Linked DNA regions of Stegostoma tigrinum. The protein of the gene in region 1 purifies or fractionates together with the protein of each later gene. This does not show direct contact. Links are inferred from orthologs where the notes say so. Each region holds a gene or a part of one and is shown in the gene's direction. Other genes may lie near its edges. The genes, in order: wdr19 and intraflagellar transport protein 43 homolog.

The links.
Region 2: the proteins of wdr19 (region 1) and intraflagellar transport protein 43 homolog purify together in Homo sapiens (affinity purification with mass spectrometry; 3 studies listed by BioGRID and IntAct, counting the BioPlex papers as one, with this or other methods). This does not show direct contact. The link is inferred for Stegostoma tigrinum from reciprocal best matches to the Homo sapiens genes WDR19 and IFT43.

Annotation. Positions count from the first base shown.
Region 1 is NC_081354.1:98,064,677-98,074,324, forward strand, and holds the start of wdr19 (WD repeat-containing protein 19), read left to right. Parts: upstream 1-5,840; 5' UTR 5,841-5,916; coding exon 5,917-5,922; intron 5,923-9,648. UniProt on the Homo sapiens protein: As component of the IFT complex A (IFT-A), a complex required for retrograde ciliary transport and entry into cilia of G protein-coupled receptors (GPCRs), it is involved in cilia function and/or assembly.
Region 2 is NC_081363.1:1,958,276-1,967,904, reverse strand, and holds the start of intraflagellar transport protein 43 homolog, read left to right. Parts: upstream 1-5,760; 5' UTR 5,761-5,796; coding exon 5,797-5,826; intron 5,827-9,629. UniProt on the Homo sapiens protein: As a component of IFT complex A (IFT-A), a complex required for retrograde ciliary transport and entry into cilia of G protein-coupled receptors (GPCRs), it is involved in ciliogenesis.

The DNA of each region.
Region 1 (9,648 bases):
ATACATGCTCCACCCTTCCCACTGACTAACCACAATAACCCCTACCTGTATCTACCAATCTCCATTCTACCTACCCTCCCCCCCCAGCCCCACTTCCACCCTCCTCTATTTATTTCTGAGCACCCCCTCTCCACTTCCCAATCTTGATGAAGGATTTTGGCCCGAAACATTGACTTCCCTGCTCCTCGGATGCTGTCTGACCTGCTCTGCTTTTCCAACTCCATGTTTATTGACTCAGACTATTCTGCATCTTGAACCTGTTCCAGGATCATCCAATAGAAGTCACTGACTCATCACTAGTATGCCAAAAGTAAAACAATTTAAACCACATGCCTTCATTTTGATCTTAAACATCTTGCAAACAACACTGATAACTCTACTTCATGTGTAGAATTATTAAACATCTACCATCATTAAGTGAAAAAAATCACATTTTTTCTGTTTCATCAAAATTTGGAATTTATCACATCTTGTCCATCAGTTGTGGGAGGACATTGATTTTTATCAAATAATTGCTAAGAATGTTTAACTAGCAAAGATGTGCCTGCAGTGCCCTTGCTTACCATCCAGAACACTGTTGGTTCCCTTAGCTGTGTGATACCTTCCTGGATCTGCTCATTGTTGGTTTGGTTGCGTTTTTCTCCTGTCCTGAAGCACTTATTCTGAATGGTCAAACTGATTCTGCTATCTGCTGTCCTCTCCATATGCCGTTACTGGTGTTTCCATGATGCTGCCGTCCAATATTTTCTTTCTTGGTAGCAGACACTCAACAAGTGCTCATCGAAGTATTTTTAAATTTAATTTGATTGTGGGATGTGAGCACCACTGGCTGGGTCAGCATTTATTGCCCATATCTAATATTCCAAAGACCAGTTTCGAGTTAACCACTTTGTTGTGGGCCTGAAGTCACATATAGGCTGGACCAGGTGACGATGGTTGGTTTCCTACCCTAAAGGACATTAGTGAACCAAATAGCTTTTTATGACAATCAAAAGATTAACTCCAGATTTTTTTTAAAAATCCAAATCTCATGAGCTAATATGGCAGAATGTGAACCGTTGTTCCCAGGACATGAGCCAGGGGTACTGGATTCTTTGTCTAGTGGCATTACCACTATGTCATCATTTCTACAAATAAAGCATGCATTTTCATAAAATAAGTTTGAGAATCTGCTTCACATCTTACTATTTTATTAGTAAATGTACACTTATATAATGAGTACAAGTATTGAGATCAATTTCCCAATAGTGATGCTTAATGTTCATGGTTAACATATCAGATAACATTGAATTAGATCACAGCCTATCTGTGCCTCAGCGCCCCAATTCCCTGACAACTGCATGACAGCAAGTCTAAATTGAATGTCACCTCCACACTTCATAATTTTTATGATCGTTTCAAGGTATCATAAAAACAGAAATTCTGTAATTTTCTCTATTAATTCTGACACATTATGATCTGCATTATGTTTGTTTTTGGAAGTGCTGCATTGAGAATAATCAGGCACCATAATGTCATTACTTGAAATGCACTTTATTGATATCACACTCTCTGCAGTTTTCCTGTTTTAATTTATTTTTATCATAACGCTGAAGTATCACTTTATGTTCCAGATGGTTAGGCAGCTGGATGGTTGATAGTGTTGGTACTGTGGTCTGTCAAGATGTCAGTAAAACCAGTGGCTTAGTCTGTGAATATTATTCACGTCAATGTGTTCCCATAAACTGGAATGCAAAGCAGCAAAGAGATATGGGAACAAGAAATGATGGTAGCAGAGCAGTACCAATAGTGAAGAACACAAAGCTGAAGACAGGCAGACAGATACATGCAAGAGAGGAAGAAGCTAAATAAGATGAAATGACAGGGAAGAGTGAAGTTACAGCCAGGTAGCAGGCCAGCAGAATGATTATCACTGGATATACCTCATTTATTAATTTTGTTACATCCTCAAAGGATCTTAATAAATTTATGTAGCATCAGCTTTCAGTTAATGGACAGAGAACACCAGAATTGTGGCTCAAGACCACGTGGAATCTCTGATGCATTGGAATTGTCCCAGAACTTGAAATTATCACTGGACAATTCCCCTGCTTCTGGAACCCTCCTAAAAAAGATGCTTAAAGTCAGACCTTGATAAAGTTTGGTCTCACTTAAGTTTCATCATTACCGAGTAAAGGTCAGAGGACTATTTGACAACTATTAAACTAACTTCCAACTCACCACTGATCCTACCTCAACCCAACTACATCCCAGAACCTTAACATCCAGACCCAACACACCTATCCCTAGACACAACATCCCCTTCCTGTGACCCAACACCTAAAACTCTGCTCCCCCTGACCAACTCTTGCTGAAACTGACAATCCTCTGACCTGACATGATCTTCTTGACCTGATCCACCCAACCCTGGTTGGTCCCAAACCAACCTACACCCAGCCCCACCCTGCCAGATTGGATCCTCTAACATATTTTAAGCAGACATTTACTTACTTTATCCATCAGGTACCCATTTTGTCGTCCAAACTCCTGTCCCTCACTTACCTTAAATACTGAGCAAAAAAAAATGTGATTTTACTAGAGAGGGTGCGAGAGATTCAGCACAGTGTTGCTTAGGCTGGAGCGATTCAATTCTGAAGCTATTTTCCTTAGAACAGAGAAGTCTGAGGAGACAGGAGAGAAAGGTGGGCAGTTCAGACTGGATTTGAGGGATTTTTTTCACCCAGAGGGTTATGAGTACTTAGAACTCACTGTCTAAGAGGGTGGTACAGACAGGAAATTTCAAAACATTTAAAAATTATTTAGATGAATGCTTGAAACACCATAGTGTACAAGGCTATGAGCCAGCAGCTGGAAAATGAGATTAGAATAGATGGAAGTTTGAAGACTGGTGTGAACGCAAGCTTAAAAGCCTCCTTCCATGCTGTTAAAACTCTGACTGCATAAATGACATCAGCTAAGGGTTCTGGATACTAGTCCAGTGACATTACCACTCAGCCATCACCTCTCTCTTGCTTTAGTTAACAATGGTGGAGCGTGAACCACCAGTGAGTCTTAATGCAAAGAAGTGCTGGTTTTAACAAGCTTTAGTTTATTGCATGGTAGAAACAGGAACAATTACGTTGGTTGGTCAGACATAATAACTAAGATTATTACGGTAGGGGTCTCTTGTGACACTGGCAATGCCCCTCACTCTCTGCCAGGAGGGCTGGGTTCAAGTCCACCCTTCTGGATGCGTGCAACGTGTCTGAGCAAGTTGATCTTAAAAACTATTTGGACACCGATGATACACCTGTCTATATTGGATCTGGAGCTAGACAACCCTTCCCTGTTAAGACTGTATGAACATCATTGAATTAGGTACGACTTAAGGCAGTCATGAACATTAATAGTTGAAGAATCATTTCTTACTGAATGTTCCCTTCTCATCTCCCACTCCGATGTTGTCTAGCGTGGCTCACATAAAACACATATCTCCAATTTGGAGCCTAAATAGCACCAACCTACAAACAGAACAGAGCTGGATTCTGTGATAATGGGAACTGCAGATGCTGGAGAATCCAAGATAATAAAATGTGAGGCTGGATGAACACAGCAGGCCCAGCAGCATCTCAGGAGCACAAAAGCTGACGTTTCGGGCCTAGGCCCTTCATCAGAGAGGGGGATGGGGTGAGGGTTCTGGAATAAATAGGGAGAGAGGGGGAGGCGGACCGAAAATGGAGAGAAAAGAAGATAGCTGGAGAGGAGAGTATAGGTGAGGAGGTAGGGAGGGGACAGGTCAGTCCAGGGAAGACGGACAGGTCAAGGAGGTGGGATGAGGTTAGTAGGTAGGAGATGGAGGTGCGGCTTGGGGTGGGAGGAAGGGATGGGTGAGAGGAAGAACAGGTTAGGAAGGCAGAGACAGGTTGGACTGGTTTTGGGATGCAGTGGGTGGAGGGGAAGAGCTGGGCTGGTTGTGTGGTGCAGTGGGGGGAGGGGACGAACTGGGCTGGTTTTGGGATGTGGTGGGGGAAGGGGAGATTTTGAAGCTGGTGAAGTCCACATTGATACCATTGGGCTGCAGGGTTCCCAAACGGAATATGAGTTGCTGTTCCTGCAACCTTCGGGTGGCATCATTGTGGCAGTGCAGGAGGCCCATGATGGACATGTCATCTAAAGAATGGGAGGGGGAGTGGAAATGGTTTGCGACTGGGAGGTGCAGTTGTTTGTTGCGAACCGAGTGGAGGTGTTCTGCAAAGCGGTCCCCCCAAGCCTCCGCTTGGTTTCCCCAATGTAGAGGAAGCCGCACCGGGTACAATGGATGCAGTATACCACATTGGCAGATGTGCAGGTGAACCTCTGCTTAATGTGGAATGTCATCTTGGGGCCTGGGATGGGGGTGAGGGACGAGGTGTGGGGGCAAGTGTAGCATTTCCTGCGGTTGCAGGGGAAGGTGCCGGGTGTGGTGGAGTTGGAGGGCAGTGTGGAGCGAACAAGGGAGTCACGGAGAGAGTGGTCTCTCCGGAAAGCAGACAGGGGTGGGGATGGAAAAATGTCTTGGGTGGTGGGGTCGGATTGTAGATGGCAGAAGTGTCGGAGGATGATGCGTTGTATCCGGAGGTTGGTGGGGTGGTGTGTAAGAATGAGGGGGATCCTCTTTGGGCAGTTGTGGCAGGGGCGGGGTGTGAGGGATGTGTTGCGGGAAATGCGGGAGACGCGGTCAAGGGCGTTCTCGACCACTGTGGGGGGAAAGTTGCGGTCCTTGAAGAACTTGGACATCTGGGATGTGTGGGAGTGGAATGCCTCATCGTGGGAGCTGATGCGGCGGAGGCGGAGGAATTGGGAATAGGGGATGGAATTTTTGCAGGAGAGTGGGTGGGAGAAGGTGTATTCTAGGTAGCTGTGGGAGTCGGTGGGCTTGAAATGGACATCAGTTACAAGCTGGTTGCCTGAGATGGAGACTGAGAGGTCCAGGAAGGTGAGGGATGTGCTGGAGATGGCCCAGGTGAACTGAAGGTTGGGGTGGAAGGTGTTGGTGAAGTGGATGAACTGTTCGAGCTCCTCTGGGGAGCAAGAGGCGGCGCCGATACAGTCATCAATGTACCGGAGGAAGAGGTGGGGTTTGGGGCCTGTGTAGGTGCAGAAGAGGGACCGTTCCACGTAACCTACAAAGAGGCAGGCATAGCTGGGGCCCATGCGGGTGCCCATGGCCACCCCCTTAGTCTGTAGGAAGTGGGAGGAGTCAAAAGAGAAGTTGTTGAGTGTGAGGACGAGTTCGGCTAGACGGATGAGGGTGTCGGTGGAGGGGGACTGGTCGGGCCTGCGGGACAGGAAGAAGCGGAGGGCCTTGAGGCCATCTCCATGCGGAATACAGGTGTATAGGGACTGGACGTCCATGGTGAAGATGAGGTGTTGGGGGCCAGGGAATTGGAAGTCCTGGAGGAGGTGGAGGGCATGGGTGGTGTCATGGATGTAGGTGGGGAGTTCCTGGACCAAAGGGGAGAAAATGGAGTCCAGATAGGTGGAGATGAGTTCGGTGGGGCAGGAGCAGGCTGAGACGATGGGTCGACCAGGGCAGGCAGGTTTGTGGATTTTGGGAAGGAGATAGAAACGGGCAGTGCGGTGTTCTGTGGCCTTTATCTCCACGGACTGTGACCTGTTGATACCTTTCGGCTTTTTGTTTTGATTTAGATTAGTAGTCATGGAGATTTCTTTTAAACAAGCAGCCCCAGGTTGACAGTAAATTCATGGTCCTCCAGGCTTTCTCACTGGGACTGAGCCTGCAAAGAAACACGGTGATGGCGCATGCCGACGGTTACCATGGCTACCAGACGCCCTACCGCGTTGCACTACGGGAAGAGGACGCATTGCTGCGCGTGCGCATTTGGTCAGCGCGGCCACACTTGGGGAAGCTAGAGGCTGAAGGAAATAAAGAGAAAGATGAAGGTGAGAGAGGAAGTGCAGGTGGAGGCTGCTCCGGTATCATCAAGTCTTCGGGTTGAGGAGAGAGAGATGTATTCGCGTTAACAATTTTCGGTTTTGTTACTTAGCGCCGCTGTTGTCGATGGCTTGTGATAACACCGCAATTTGCAAAGGCCTCAGCTCTACTTTGACGGTTACTATGGAAACGGAGTTGGTGGTACAATGGATTGTAGTCCCTGAACCCTCATGACCCAGAAAATATTCCCCCGAGACGTGGGGATATTCTGTCTCCTAGAAAGTATTGTAATTGTACTCTCACTGTGTTCACCACAGATCCATTAATACCAGCTTCCGCTGGATACTGCAAAGGCTGTGGGCCCTGAGAACATTCTGACAATAGTACTTGTGCTCCAGAACTTGCTGTTTGCGTAGCCAAGCAGGTTCAGTTAAGTTACAATGCTGGCACTTGCCTGTCAATGTGAAAAATTGCCCAAGTATGTCTTGTACACCAAAAGCAGGATAAATCCAACCGGGCTAATTGCCTCCCCATTAGTCTACTCTTGATCATGTGGTAAGTGACGGAAGGTAACATTAACAATGTAATCAACCAGCACTTACTTGTCGACCATTTGCTCAGTGATGTCCAATTTGACTTCAAACATGGACAAAACAACTGAATTTCAGGAGTGAAAGTGACAGCCCATGAAATCGAGGCCATGTTTGATAGAGTGTGGTATCAGGAAGCCCTACTAAAATTCAAATCACTGGGAATTAGGAGAAAACTCTCTGTTAATTTGATGCATTCCTTGAACATAGGAAGATGGTCGTGATTGTCAGAGATCAGTCATCTCCGCTCCTGGAAATCTCTGCTGGAGTTCCTCAGTGGTTCCTAGGCCCAACAATCTTTAGCTGCTTCATCGAAAACCTTCCCTCCTCCATCAGGTCAGATGTGGGGATGTTCACCAGTACTTGCACAGTGGCCAGCACCATCATGACTCCTCGGATACTGAAACAGTCCCTGTCCAAATGCATCAAGACCTAGACAGCATTCAGGTTTGGGCAGAAAAAGTGGCAAGTAACATTCATGCCATCACTTGACATTCAATGGAGTCGCCATCACTGATTCCCTCATCCTAGCAGTTACTGTTGACCAGAAACTCAACTGGGCATACCATTATAATTACAGTGGCTACAAGAGCAGGCTGGAGTCTTGGAATACTGCACTAAGTTACTCACCAACTGACTTCTCAAAAATCTTTCCGCCATCTACAAGGCACAAGTCAGGAATGTGACAATACTTCCCACTTGCCTGAATTAGTGTAAATCAAACAACGCAAAAGGTTGACACTATCCATGATAAAACAGCCTGAATGATTGGCACTAAGTCCAGAAACACCTGCTCGATCCACCACCAAAGCTCCGGAGCAGCCATAGAGCATGTTTTGCTAAACATCCTAAGATCACACCTTCCATGGCCACTTTAATCTAGCAGCGTCTAGAGAAAGCAGAGATAACATTTTGGGTCCGGTCACCCTTCCTCAGAACTGATGGTAGCTCAGAAAATGTTGGTATTAATGCAGAAGATGGGATGGGGGGAAGGGAGTAAGGAGTAAATGATAGGTGAGGATAGAGCCCAAAGAGAGAGAAGACAGTTGGACAGACAAAAGAGTAGATAAGGATTTGGCTAGGAGAGTGAATAGCTGTTAATGGAGACTGTTGGTGGCTAACAATGGGTTGTGTGTAATAGCAGACTATGCAGTCACAAGGCCTGGTGCTTTGGTGTGGGGACTAGGACATAGGAGTGTTCAAGACCTACAGTTATTAAACTCGATATTGAGTAGGGCAGGGACCCCAAGCAGAAAATGAATTGTTGTTCATCCAGCTTATGCTGAGCGTTGCTGGAGCACTGCAGCAAGCCTAAGACAGAGATATTGGCCAGGGTACAGGATGATGTGTAGATGTGGCGGGCAACAACTTCTTTCCTCCCCTGTCCCATTCCAACCTATTTTCCCCTGAACTGACTGCATTCTATGTGCTCAGATCCAATCTTGACTTTATTAGCGTGATGCTGTTGTAGTCTGGAGTTCTGGCATTTATGTTGCAGAGGCTGATGCCAGCACTCACATATCTCCTCCTATCACCCACTGGACCATGGCCCCACCGTGGAATATCCAGCCGTTGGATCAACTACAGTCCTCATTTTATCTGGTAATCTCCCCTCCGGCACCTCCAAGCTGATGGTATCTACAATTCCTCTGACACTTTATGCCAGTTTTGGAATTTCCAATTTGCAGGCTCCAGCTGCCTTCCTTCACCATGGACATAAAACTCCTCTACATTTCCATTCCCCATCAGGATAGTCTCAGGGCTCTCCACTCCTTCCTGGAAAAAAATGCCTGACCATCCCCACCCCCACCACCGTCCTCAGCCTGGCGGAGGTTTTCCTTACCCTAAGCAACTTTTTTAACTCCTGTCATTTTCTTCAGGGCATAGGGGTGGCCATGGGTACTGCATGGGCTCCAATTATGCTGTCGCTTCGTGGGGTGCGTGGAATATTCCTTGTTTGAGTCCTATTCCAGCCCATGCCCAAAACTCTTTCTCCAATATGTTGATGATATCATCAGTGCAGCTTCCAAACATCGAGGCCGAAGGGCCTGTACTGTGCTGTTATGTTCTATTTCTCGTCTGAAATTGGTAAGGTTTATCAATTTAGCTTCCAACTTCCATGCCACCCTCACTTTCACCTGGTCTGTCTCTGACTCAGTTTTCTCAGTTCCTCCCTCTCCGTCACATATGTGCCAATGATGCCAACTTTGACAAGGGAGCCTCTGAAATGTCTATCTTCTTCCTCAACCGAGGATTCCCCAGCGCTGTTGTCGACAGGGCCCTCAACTGGGTTCGACCCAGCTCCCGCACTTTGGCTCTCAACCTCTCTCTTCCCTCCCACAATGATAGGATTCCCTTGTTTTTACCTACCATCCCACCAGCATACATAACAAGAAAATGATTAGCCACCATTTCTGCCACCTCCAGCAAAGTGCCACCACTTGACACATTCTCCTCCCCTCAGTTGTTTGCCTTCAGCAGGGACCATTCCCTTCGGGACACTCTGATCGACTTTTCCTTCACTCCCAATACCACCACAGCCCACGACACTTTCCCCTACAATTGCCGAAGGTGTAATACTTGCCTATTTACTTTACCTGCACTTCATGCAATCTCGTTTATTGGATTCACTGCTCACAATGTGGTTTCCTCTACATTGGGAAAAAGAAGCGTAGGCCAAGTGACCACTTTGCAAAGCTCCTAAGTTCTGCTCGCCAAAATAACCCTGAGCTTCTAGTTACCTGCTGCTTCAACGCACCACCTGGCTCCCTGGCCACTATCCCTGTCTTAGGCTTGCTGCTGTTCCCCAGTGAAGCTGGAAGAACACCACCTCATTTTTTGCTTGGGGACCTTGCAGCTGCTCAATATTGAGCTCAGTAACTTCAGGGTTTGAACTCTCCACTGTCCTAGGCCACGGCCCCATACATCAGGCCATGTGATCATACAGTCTGCTATTACACACAACTCATTGTTAGCCGCTAACAGTCTACATTAACAGCTATTCACCTTCCTTGCCAGATCCTTATCCGCTCCTTTGTCTGTCCAACTGTTCTTATCTCTCTTTGGGCTCTATCTCCACCTATTGTTTACTCCTAACCCCCTCCCCACCCTATCTTCTGCATAAACACCAACATTTTCCTAGCT
Region 2 (9,629 bases), on another chromosome or scaffold:
ATCCCTAGTTGCCTTTGAGAATCACACAATTATTAGGGTGCAGGAGAGCCATTCGGCCCATCATGCCTGCACTGGTTTTATTGCCTAGTCCAGCTCTACTGCTACCTACCAACCTCTTGCCTTTCCCCACACTATTTTTACCCAAATAATCATCCAATGACATTCTTGAATGCCTCAGCTGAAACAACCTACACAACTTCTCAGGCAATGCATCCAGATTGTAAATACTTGCTGTACGAAAATGTGGAACTGTACATCAGTGAGTGTCAGTGAATGTGGAAATATACCTGTGATGTCGGTGTGTCGTATATTGCTGTTATTTGGGATCTTGCATTCTGAATTGGAGTAAAAATCGACTTTAGCTTTCAGTTCTATGTTTTTAACAAAGATCATAAAATTATTTTTGAAACAATTAGTTCAAATGTCATTTCCAAGAAAGCATCTGATTGAAACTAAAGGACTCGATCTGTTCATTGTGAAGTTACCTGATTAAATATTTACAAAGTTGAATTTCTGTGATGCACAGAGAGACTCCCATCTCAGTGAGAGTCACAGTTAGAGAAACACAGAAAATAGGATGTGGGAAAACTCACTAGGCAACGCCGACCAGGTCTCAGGGAATCGAGGCCATTCTTCGTTTGCACATCACTATCGACCTATGCCCTGCCATTCTTGTTTCTTTCATATGGCGATAAGACATAGAAGCATAAATTAGGCCAGGCCAATCAGCCCATCGAGTCTGCTCCGCCATTCAACCATGGCCGATAAGTTCCTCAATCCCATTCTCCCACTTTCTCCCCATAACCCTTAATAATCAAGAACCTATCTATCTCTGTCTTAAATGTACTCAATGACCCGGCCTCCACAGCCTTCTGTGGCAGTGAATTCCATAGATTCACCACTCTCTGGCTGAAGACGTTTCTCCTTATCTCCGTCCTAAAAGGTCTTACCTTTACTCTAAGGCTGTGCCCCCGGGTCCTAGTCTCTCCTACCAATGGAAGCATCTTCCCAACATCCGCTCTGTCCAGGCCATTCATAGTCTGTAAATTTCAATAGTACCCGCCTCATCCGTCTAAACTCCAATGAGTATAGTCCCAGAGTCCTCAAATATTCCCCATATGTTAAGCTCTCCATTCCCAGGACCATTTTCGTGAACCTCCTCTGAACCTGCTCCAGGGCCAGTACATCCTTCCTGAGATATGGGTCCCAAAACTGCACACAATACTCCAAATGTGGCCTGACCAGAGCCTTATAGAGCCTCAGTAGTACATCCCTGCTTTTATATTCAACACCTCTCAAAATAAATGCTAACATTGCATTTGCCTTCCTGACTGCTGACTCACCCTGCAAGTTTACCTTGAGAGAATCCTGGACTAGAACTCCCAAGTCTCTTTCTGCATTTCCTCCCCATTTAGAAAACAGCCCATGCTTTTATTATTCTTACGAAAGTGTATGACCTCACGCTTTCCCACGTTGTACTCCATCTGCCACTTCTTTACTCGCTCTCCTGACATGTCGAAATCCTTCTGAAGCCTCCCCATCTCCTCAATACTACCTGTCCCTCCGCCTAACTTTGTATCATCTGCAAACTTAACCAGAATACCCTCAGTTCCTTCATCTCGATTATGGGAGGTACTTGTCTCGTGGTATAACCGCTGGACTGTTAATCCAGAGACTCAGATAATGTTCTGGGGATCTGGATTCAAATCCTGCCAGGGCAGATGGTGGAATTTGAATTCAATAAATATCTGGAATTGAGAATCTAATGATGACCATGAATACGATGTTGATAATCGAAAAAACCCATCTGGTTCACTAATGACCTTTAGGGAATGAAACTGCCATCCTTACCTGGTCTGGCCTCCATGTGACTCCAGACCCACAGCGATGTGGTTGACTCCTAACTGCCCTCTGGGCAACTAGGGATGGGCAATGAATGCTGCCTGGCCAGTGATGCCCACATCCCATGATCATCAAAGGAAATTGTATAAAGTGAAAGGTTGTGGCCCCAGTACTGACCCTTGCGGACCACCACTTGTCACTGGCTGCCATCTTGAGAAAGCCCCTTAAGAATGGGAAAGGCTTCTCCCTATCTACCTTGACCAGGCCCTGCTCACGATCTTGAATACCTCAATCAAATCTTCTCTTAGGCTTCTCCTCTCAATAGGGAATAGTCCCAACTTATTTATTATAGAATCCCGACAGTGTGGTAACAGGCTCTTCGGCCCAACAAATCCACACCAATTCACGGAGCATCCCACCCAGACCCATCCCCCCTTAGCCCACCTAATCTATACCTCCCTGAACACTATTAGCTATTTATCATGGCCAACCCACCTAGCCTGCACATCTTTGGACTGTGGGAGGAAACCGGAGCACCCGGAGAAAACCCATGCAGACATGGGGAGAATGTGCAAACTCCACATAGACAGTCGCCTGAGGCTGGAATTGAACCTGGGTCCCTGGTGCTGTGAGGCTGCAGTGCTAACCACTGAGCCACCGTGGTGCCCTCTAAATAAGTAGCAATACATTACCACCAAACATCAGTGAGCCCGCCATGATTTGAACACCCAACCTTCTGATTTGGAGCCAGACGTGCTACCGTGGCACCACAAGCTCACCGCTTCTTCAGTCTATCCTCATCACTGAAATTTTCATTCCTGGCATCATTCATACTAATAATTTCAGTACTGTCTGTAATATATTCACATCTTCCCTACAATGTGGTACCTACAACTGGACACAATACTTCAGCTGAGATCTAACAAGATCTCCGTCACCGGTTTGCTTAAAAATGATAACACGATTATTATTAAACTGAGATAACTGCATCCCACCGCGACATACAGAGAGCGAATGTCAGGGAGTGGCTGAAACAAACAATCTAGGGTCACTCTATATTCCAGTTCTGCTCTTGCTCTCGCTATCCCAGTCTCTCTCTCTCTCTATCCCAGTCTCTCTCTCTCTCTCTCTATCCCAGTCGCTCTCTCTCACTCTATCCCAGTCGCTCTCTCTCTCTCTATCCCAGTCTCTCTCTCTCTCTATCCCAGTCTCTCTCTCTCTCTATCCCAGTCTCTCTCTCTATCCCAGTCGCTCTCTCTCACTCTATCCCAGTCGCTCTCTCTCTCTCTATCCCAGTCGCTCTCTCTCTCTCTATCCCAGTCTCCCTCTATCCCAGTCTCTCTTTCTCTCTCTCTCTCTATCCCAGTCTCTCTCTCTCTATCCCAGTCTCTCTCACTCTCTCTATCCCAGTCGCTCTCTCTCTCTCTATCCCAGTGTCTCTCTCTCTATCCCAGTTTCGCTCTCTCTTTCTATCCCAGCCTCTCTTTCTCTCTCTCTATCCCAGTCACTCTCTCTCTCTATCTCAGTCTCTCTCTCTCACTATCCCAGCCTCTCTTTCTCTCTCTCTATCCCAGTCACTCTCTCTCTCTATCCCAGTCTCTCTCTCTCACTATCCCAGTCTCTCTCTCTCTATCCCAGTCTCTCTCTCTATCCAAGTCACGCTCTCTCTCTCTGTCCCAGTCACACTCTTTCTCTATCCCAGTCTCTCTCTCTCTCTATCCCAGTCTCTCTCTCTCTCTCTATCCCAGTCTCATAGAACATAGAACATTACAGCACAGTACAGGCCCTTCGGCCCTCGACGTTGTGCCAACCTGTCATACCAATCTCAAGCCCATCTAACCTACACTATTCCAAGTACGTCCATATGCTTGTCCAATGACGACTTAAATGGACCTAAAGTTGGCGAATCAACTACCATTCCAGGCAAAGCGTTCCATGCCCTTACTACTCTCTGAGTAAAGAAACTACCTCTGACATCTGACCTATATCTTCCACCCCTCAATTTAAAGCTATGCCCCCTCGTGCTTGCCGTCACCATCCGAGGAAAAAGGCTCTCCCTATCCACCCTATTTAACCCTCTGATTATTTTATATGTTTCAATTAAGTCACCTCTCAACCTTCTTCTCTCTAATGAAAACAGCCTCAAGTCCCTCAACCTTTCCTCGTAAGGCCTTCCCTCCATACCAGGCAACATCCTAAATAATCTCCTCTGCATCCTTTCCAAAGCTTCCACATCCTTCTTATAATGCGGTGACCAGAACTGTACACAATACTCCATGTGCGGCCACACCAGAGTCTTGTACAGCTTCACCATAACCTCTTGGTTCCGCAACTCGATCCCTCTATTAATAAAAGCTAAAACACTGTATGCCTTCTTAACAGCCCTGTCAACCTGGGTGGTAACTTTCAAGGATCTGTGTACATGGACACCGAGATCTCTCTGCTCATCTACACTGCTAAGAATCTTACCATTAGCCCAGTACTTTGCCTTCTGGTTACTCCTACCAAAGTGCATCACCTCACACTTGTCTGCAATAAACTCCATTTGCCACCTCTCAGCCCAGCTCTGCAGCTTATCTATGTCTCTCTGCAACCTACAGCATCCTTCGTCACTATCCACAACTCCACCGACCTTAGTGTCGTCTGCAAATTTACTAACCCATCCTTCTACACCCTCATCCAGGTCATTTATAAAAATGACAAACAGCAGTGGACCCAACACCGACCCTTGCGGTACACCACTAGTAACTGGTCTCCAGGATGAACATTTCCCATCAACTACCACCCTCTGTCTTCTTTCAGCAAGCCAATTTCCGATCCAAACTGCTATATCTCCCACAATTCCATTCCTCTGCATTTTGTACAATAGCCTATTGTGGGTAACCTTATCGAACGCCTTGCTGAAATCCATATACACCACATCAACCGGTTTACTCTCATCTACCTGTTTGGTCACCTTCTCAAAGAACTCAATAAGGTTTGTGAGGCACGACCTTCCCTTCACAAAACCATGCTGACTATCCCTGATCAATTTATTCTTTTCTAGATGATTATAAATCCTATCCCTTATAACCTTTTCCAACACTTTACCAACAACTGAGGTAAGGCTCACTGGTCTATAATTACCAGGGTTGTCTCTACTCCCATCTTCAACAGGGGAACCACATTTGCTATCCTCCAGTCATCTGGCACTATTCCTCTCTCTCTCTCTATCCCAGTCCCTCTCTCTCTCAGTCTCTCTCTCTATCTATCCCAGTCTCACTCTCTCTATCCCAGTCTCTTTATCTCTCTTTCTCTCTATCCCAGTCTCTCTCTCTCTATCTCTATCCCAGTCTCTCTCTATCCCAGTCTCTCTCTCTCTATCCCAGTCTCTCTCTCTCTCTATCCCAGTCTCTATCTCTCTCACTATCCAAGTCTCTCTCTATCTCTCTATCCCAGTCTCTCTCCGTCTCTCTATCCCAGTCTCTCTCTCTCTCTTTTTCCCACTCTCTCTCTCTCACTATCCCAGTCTCTCTCTCTCTCTCTATCCCAGTCTCTCTCTCTGTCTATCCCAGTATCTCTCTCTCTCTATCCCAGTCTCTGTCTCTCTCTATCTATGTCGCTCTTTCTCTCTATCCCAGTTTCTATCTCTCTCTCTATCCCAGTCTCTCTCTATCTCTATCCCAGTCTCTCTCTCTCTCTATCCCAGTCTCTATCTCTCTCACTATCCAAGTCTCTCTCTCTCTCTATCCCAGTCTCTCTCTCTCTCTCTATCCCAGTCTCTCTCTCTCTCTCTATCCCAGTCTCTCTCTCTCTATCCCAGTCTCTCTCTCTCTCTCTATCCCAGTCTCTCTCTCTCACTATCCCAGTTTCACTCTCTCTCTCTATCCCAGTCTCTCTCTCTCTTTCTATCCCAGTCTCTCTCTCCGTTGTCGGGGAGACCGTCGCGCATGCGCATTGGCGCTTGGCCTGGCAATGGAGGATGTTCTGGAGGAACCTCAGCGGGTAATAGGATAGAGTGTGATAGAGGGAGGGGGAGGGAGTGTCTATGTGTTCCAGGTGGGAGAGAGAGACTGTGACAGTGCGAGAGAGAGAGAGAGAGAGAGTGTGTGGTGATAGAGAGAGACGCAGAGAGAGAGAGAGTGACAGAGGGAGGGAGGGAGAGAATCTGGGAGAGTAAGAGAGAGTGTGTGAGACAGAGGGAGAGAGAGAGAGTGTGAGACAGAGGGAGAGAGAGAGAGTGTGTGACAGAGGGAGAGAGAGTGTGTGACAGAGTAAGAGAGAGAGAGTGTGACAGAGGGAGAGAGAGAGAGTGTGAGACAGAGGGAGAGAGAGAGTGTGTGACAGTGGGAGAGATAGAGAGTGTGACAGAGGGAGAGAGAGAGAGTGTGTGACAGTGGGAGAGAGAGTGTGTGACAGAGGGAGAGAGAGAGAGTGTGTGACAGAGGGGGAGAGAGAGAGTGTGTAACAGTGGGAGAGATAGAGAGTGACAGAGTAAGAGAGAGAGAGTGTGACAGAGGGAGAGAGAGAGAGAGTGTGACAGTGGGAGAGATAGAGAGTGACAGAGTAAGAGAGAGAGAGTGTGACAGAGGGAGAGAGAGAGTGTGTTTCAGAGGGAGAGAGAGAGTGTGTGACAGTGGGAGAGATAGAGAGTGTGTGACAGAGGGGGAGAGAGAGAGTGTGTGACAGTGGGAGAGAGAGTGTGACAGAGGGAGAGAGATTGTGTGACAGAGGGAGAGAGAGAGATTGTGTGACAGAGGGAGAGAGAGAGAGTGTGTAACAGTGGGAGAGATAGAGAGTGTGTGAGACAGAGGGAGAGAGAGAGTGTGTGTGACAGTGGGAGAGAGAGAGAGTGTGACAGTGGGAGAGATAGAGAGTGACAGAGTGGGAGAGATAGAGAGTGACAGAGTAAGAGAGAGAGAGTGTGACAGAGGGAGAGAGAGAGTGTGTGACAGAGGGAGAGAGAGAGTGTGTGACAGAGGGAGAGAGAGAGAGTGTGTGACAGAGGGAGAGATAGAGAGTGTGTGAGACAGAGGGAGAGAGAGAGTGTGTGACAGTGGGACAGATAGAGAGTGTGACAGAGGGAGAGAGAGTGTGTGACAGAGGGAGAGAGAGAGTGTGTGACAGAGGGGGAGAGAGAGAGTGTGTGACAGTGGGAGAGATAGAGAGTGACAGAGTAAGAGAGAGAGAGTGTGACAGAGGGAGAGAGAGAGAGTGTGACAGTGGGAGAGATAGAGAGTGACAGAGTAAGAGAGAGAGAGTGTGACAGAGGGAGAGAGAGAGTGTGTGACAGAGGGAGAGAGAGAGTGTGTGACAGAGGGAGAGAAAGAGTGTGTGTGACAGTGGGAGAGATAGAGAGTGACAGAGTAAGAGAGAGAGTGTGTGACAGAGGGAGAGAGAGAGTGTGTGACAGAGGGAGAGAGAGAGTGTGTGACAGAGGGAGAGATAGAGAGTGTGTGACAGTGGGAGAGATAGAGAGTGACAGAGTAAGAGAGAGAGAGTGTGACAGAGGGAGAGAGAGAGAGAGTGTGTGACAGTGGGAGAGATAGAGGGTGACAGAGTAAGAGAGAGAGAGTGTGACAGAGGAGAGAGAGAGAGTGTGTGACAGAGGGAGAGATAGTGTGTGTGACAGTGGGAGAGAGAGAGTGTGTGACAGTGGGACAGATAGAGAGTGTGACAGAGGGAGAGAGAGTGTGTGACAGAGGGAGAGAGAGAGTGTGTGACAGAGGGGCAGAGAGAGAGTGTGTGACAGTGGGAGAGATAGAGAGTGACAGAGTAAGAGAGAGAGAGAGAGTGACAGAGTAAGAGAGAGAGAGTGTGACAGAGGGAGAGAGAGAGAGAGAGTGTGTGACAGAGGGAGAGAGAGAGAGTGTGTGACAGGGAGAGAGAGAGAGAGTGTGACAGAGGGAGAGAGAGAGTGTGACAGAGGGAGAGATAGAGAGTGTGACAGAGGGAGAGAGAGAGTGTGTGACAGAGGGAGAGAGAGAGTGTGTGACAGAGGGAGAGAGAGAGTGTGTGACAGAGTGAGAGATAGAGTGTGACAGGGAGAGAGAGAGTGTGACAGGGAGAGAGAGAGTGTGACAGAGGGAGAGAGAGGGAGTGACAGATGGAGAGATAGAGAGTGACAGAGTAAGAGAGAGAGAGTGTGACAGAGTAAGATAGAGAGAGTGTGACAGAGTAAGAGAGCGAGAGTGTGACAGAGGGAGAGAGAGAGTGTGTGACAGAGGGAGAGAGAGAGTGTGTGACAGAGGGAGAGAGAGTGTGTGACAGAGGGAGAGAGAGTGTGACAGAGGGAGAGAGAGAGAGAGTGTGTCAGTGCGAGAGAGAGAGTGTGATCGCGGGAGAGTAAGAGAGAGAGTGTGATAGAGGGAGGGAGAGAGTATGATAAAGGGACAGTAAGTTTCCCCAGAATGGGGGACTCAATTACTCGGGGTCATGAGTTCAAAGTGAGAGGAGGAAAGTTTAGGGGAGATATGTGTGGAAAGTTCTTTACGCAGAGGGTGGTGGGTGCCTGGAACTCTATGTGTGAGTCTGATAGAGGGAGATACAGCATGTGATAGAGGGAGTGAGAGAGAGAGTATGATGGAGGAAGAGGTAGAGCCGTTGCCAGTGGACGTGGTAGACACAGACACGTTAGCGTCTTTTAAGCTGTATCTGGACAGGTACATGGATGGGCAGGGAGCAAATGGACACAGATTGTTAGAAAATAGATGAATAGATGACAGATTAGACAGAGGATCTCAATCGGCGCAAGCTTGGAGGGCCGAAGGGCTTGTTCCTGTGCTGTAGGTTTCTTTGTTCTTTGTTCTGAGAGACAGAGTGTGATAGAGGGAGGGAGAGAGTGTTATAGAGGGAAGGAGAGACAGAGTGTGATGGGGGGAGGTAGAGAGTGTGATTGAAGGAGGAAGAGAGTCCAATAGAGGGTGAGACTGTGAGAGTGTGATAGAGGGAGGGAGAAAGAGGATGTGATAGACGGAGGGAGAGAGTGTGTGATGGAGGGGGAGAGAGAGTGTGTGATAGAAGGAGCGGGGGAGAGAGACAGAGCGTGTGATGAAGGGAGGGAGGGAGAGAGAGTGATAGAGGGAGGGAGAGAGAGAGAGAGTGTGTAATAGAGGTAGAGGGAGGGACAGAGAGAGGATGATTGAGGTAGAGGGACGGAGAGAGAGGGTGATGGAGGGAAAGACAATGTGATAGAGGGAGTGAGAGAGTGTGATGGAGGAAGAAAGAGAGAGAGAGAGAGTGTGATAGAGGGAGTGTGAGAGTGTATGATGGAGGGAGGGAGAGAGTGTGATAGAGGGGGAGAGAGTGTGATAGAGGTAGAGGGAGGGACAGAGAGAGGGTGATTGAGATAGAGGAAGGGAGAGAGAGAGGGTGATGGAGGGAAAGAGAGTGTGATGGAGTGAGTGAGAGAGAGTGTGATGGAGGGAGTGAAAGAGAGAATGTGATGGAGGAAGAGATAGAGAGAGTCTGATAGAGGGAGATACAGAGAGAGTGTGATAGAGGGAGTAAGAGAGAGTGTGATGGAGGAAGAGAGAGAGTGTGATGGAGGGGAAGGGAGAGTGCGTGTGATAGAAGGAGGGAGGAAGAGAGTGTGGGAGAGTGAGTGTATGTGTGATGGAGAGAGTGAGAGATTGTGATAGAGGGAGAGTAAGAGACAGAATGTGGTAGTGGGAGGGAGAGAGAGAGAGGGTGATAGAGGGAGTGTGATGGAGAGAGAGGGAGTGTGATGGAGGGAGTGTGATGGAGGAAGAGAGAGTGTGTGTGATAGAGTGAGGGAGAGAGTGTGATAGAGGGAGAGTAAGAGAGAG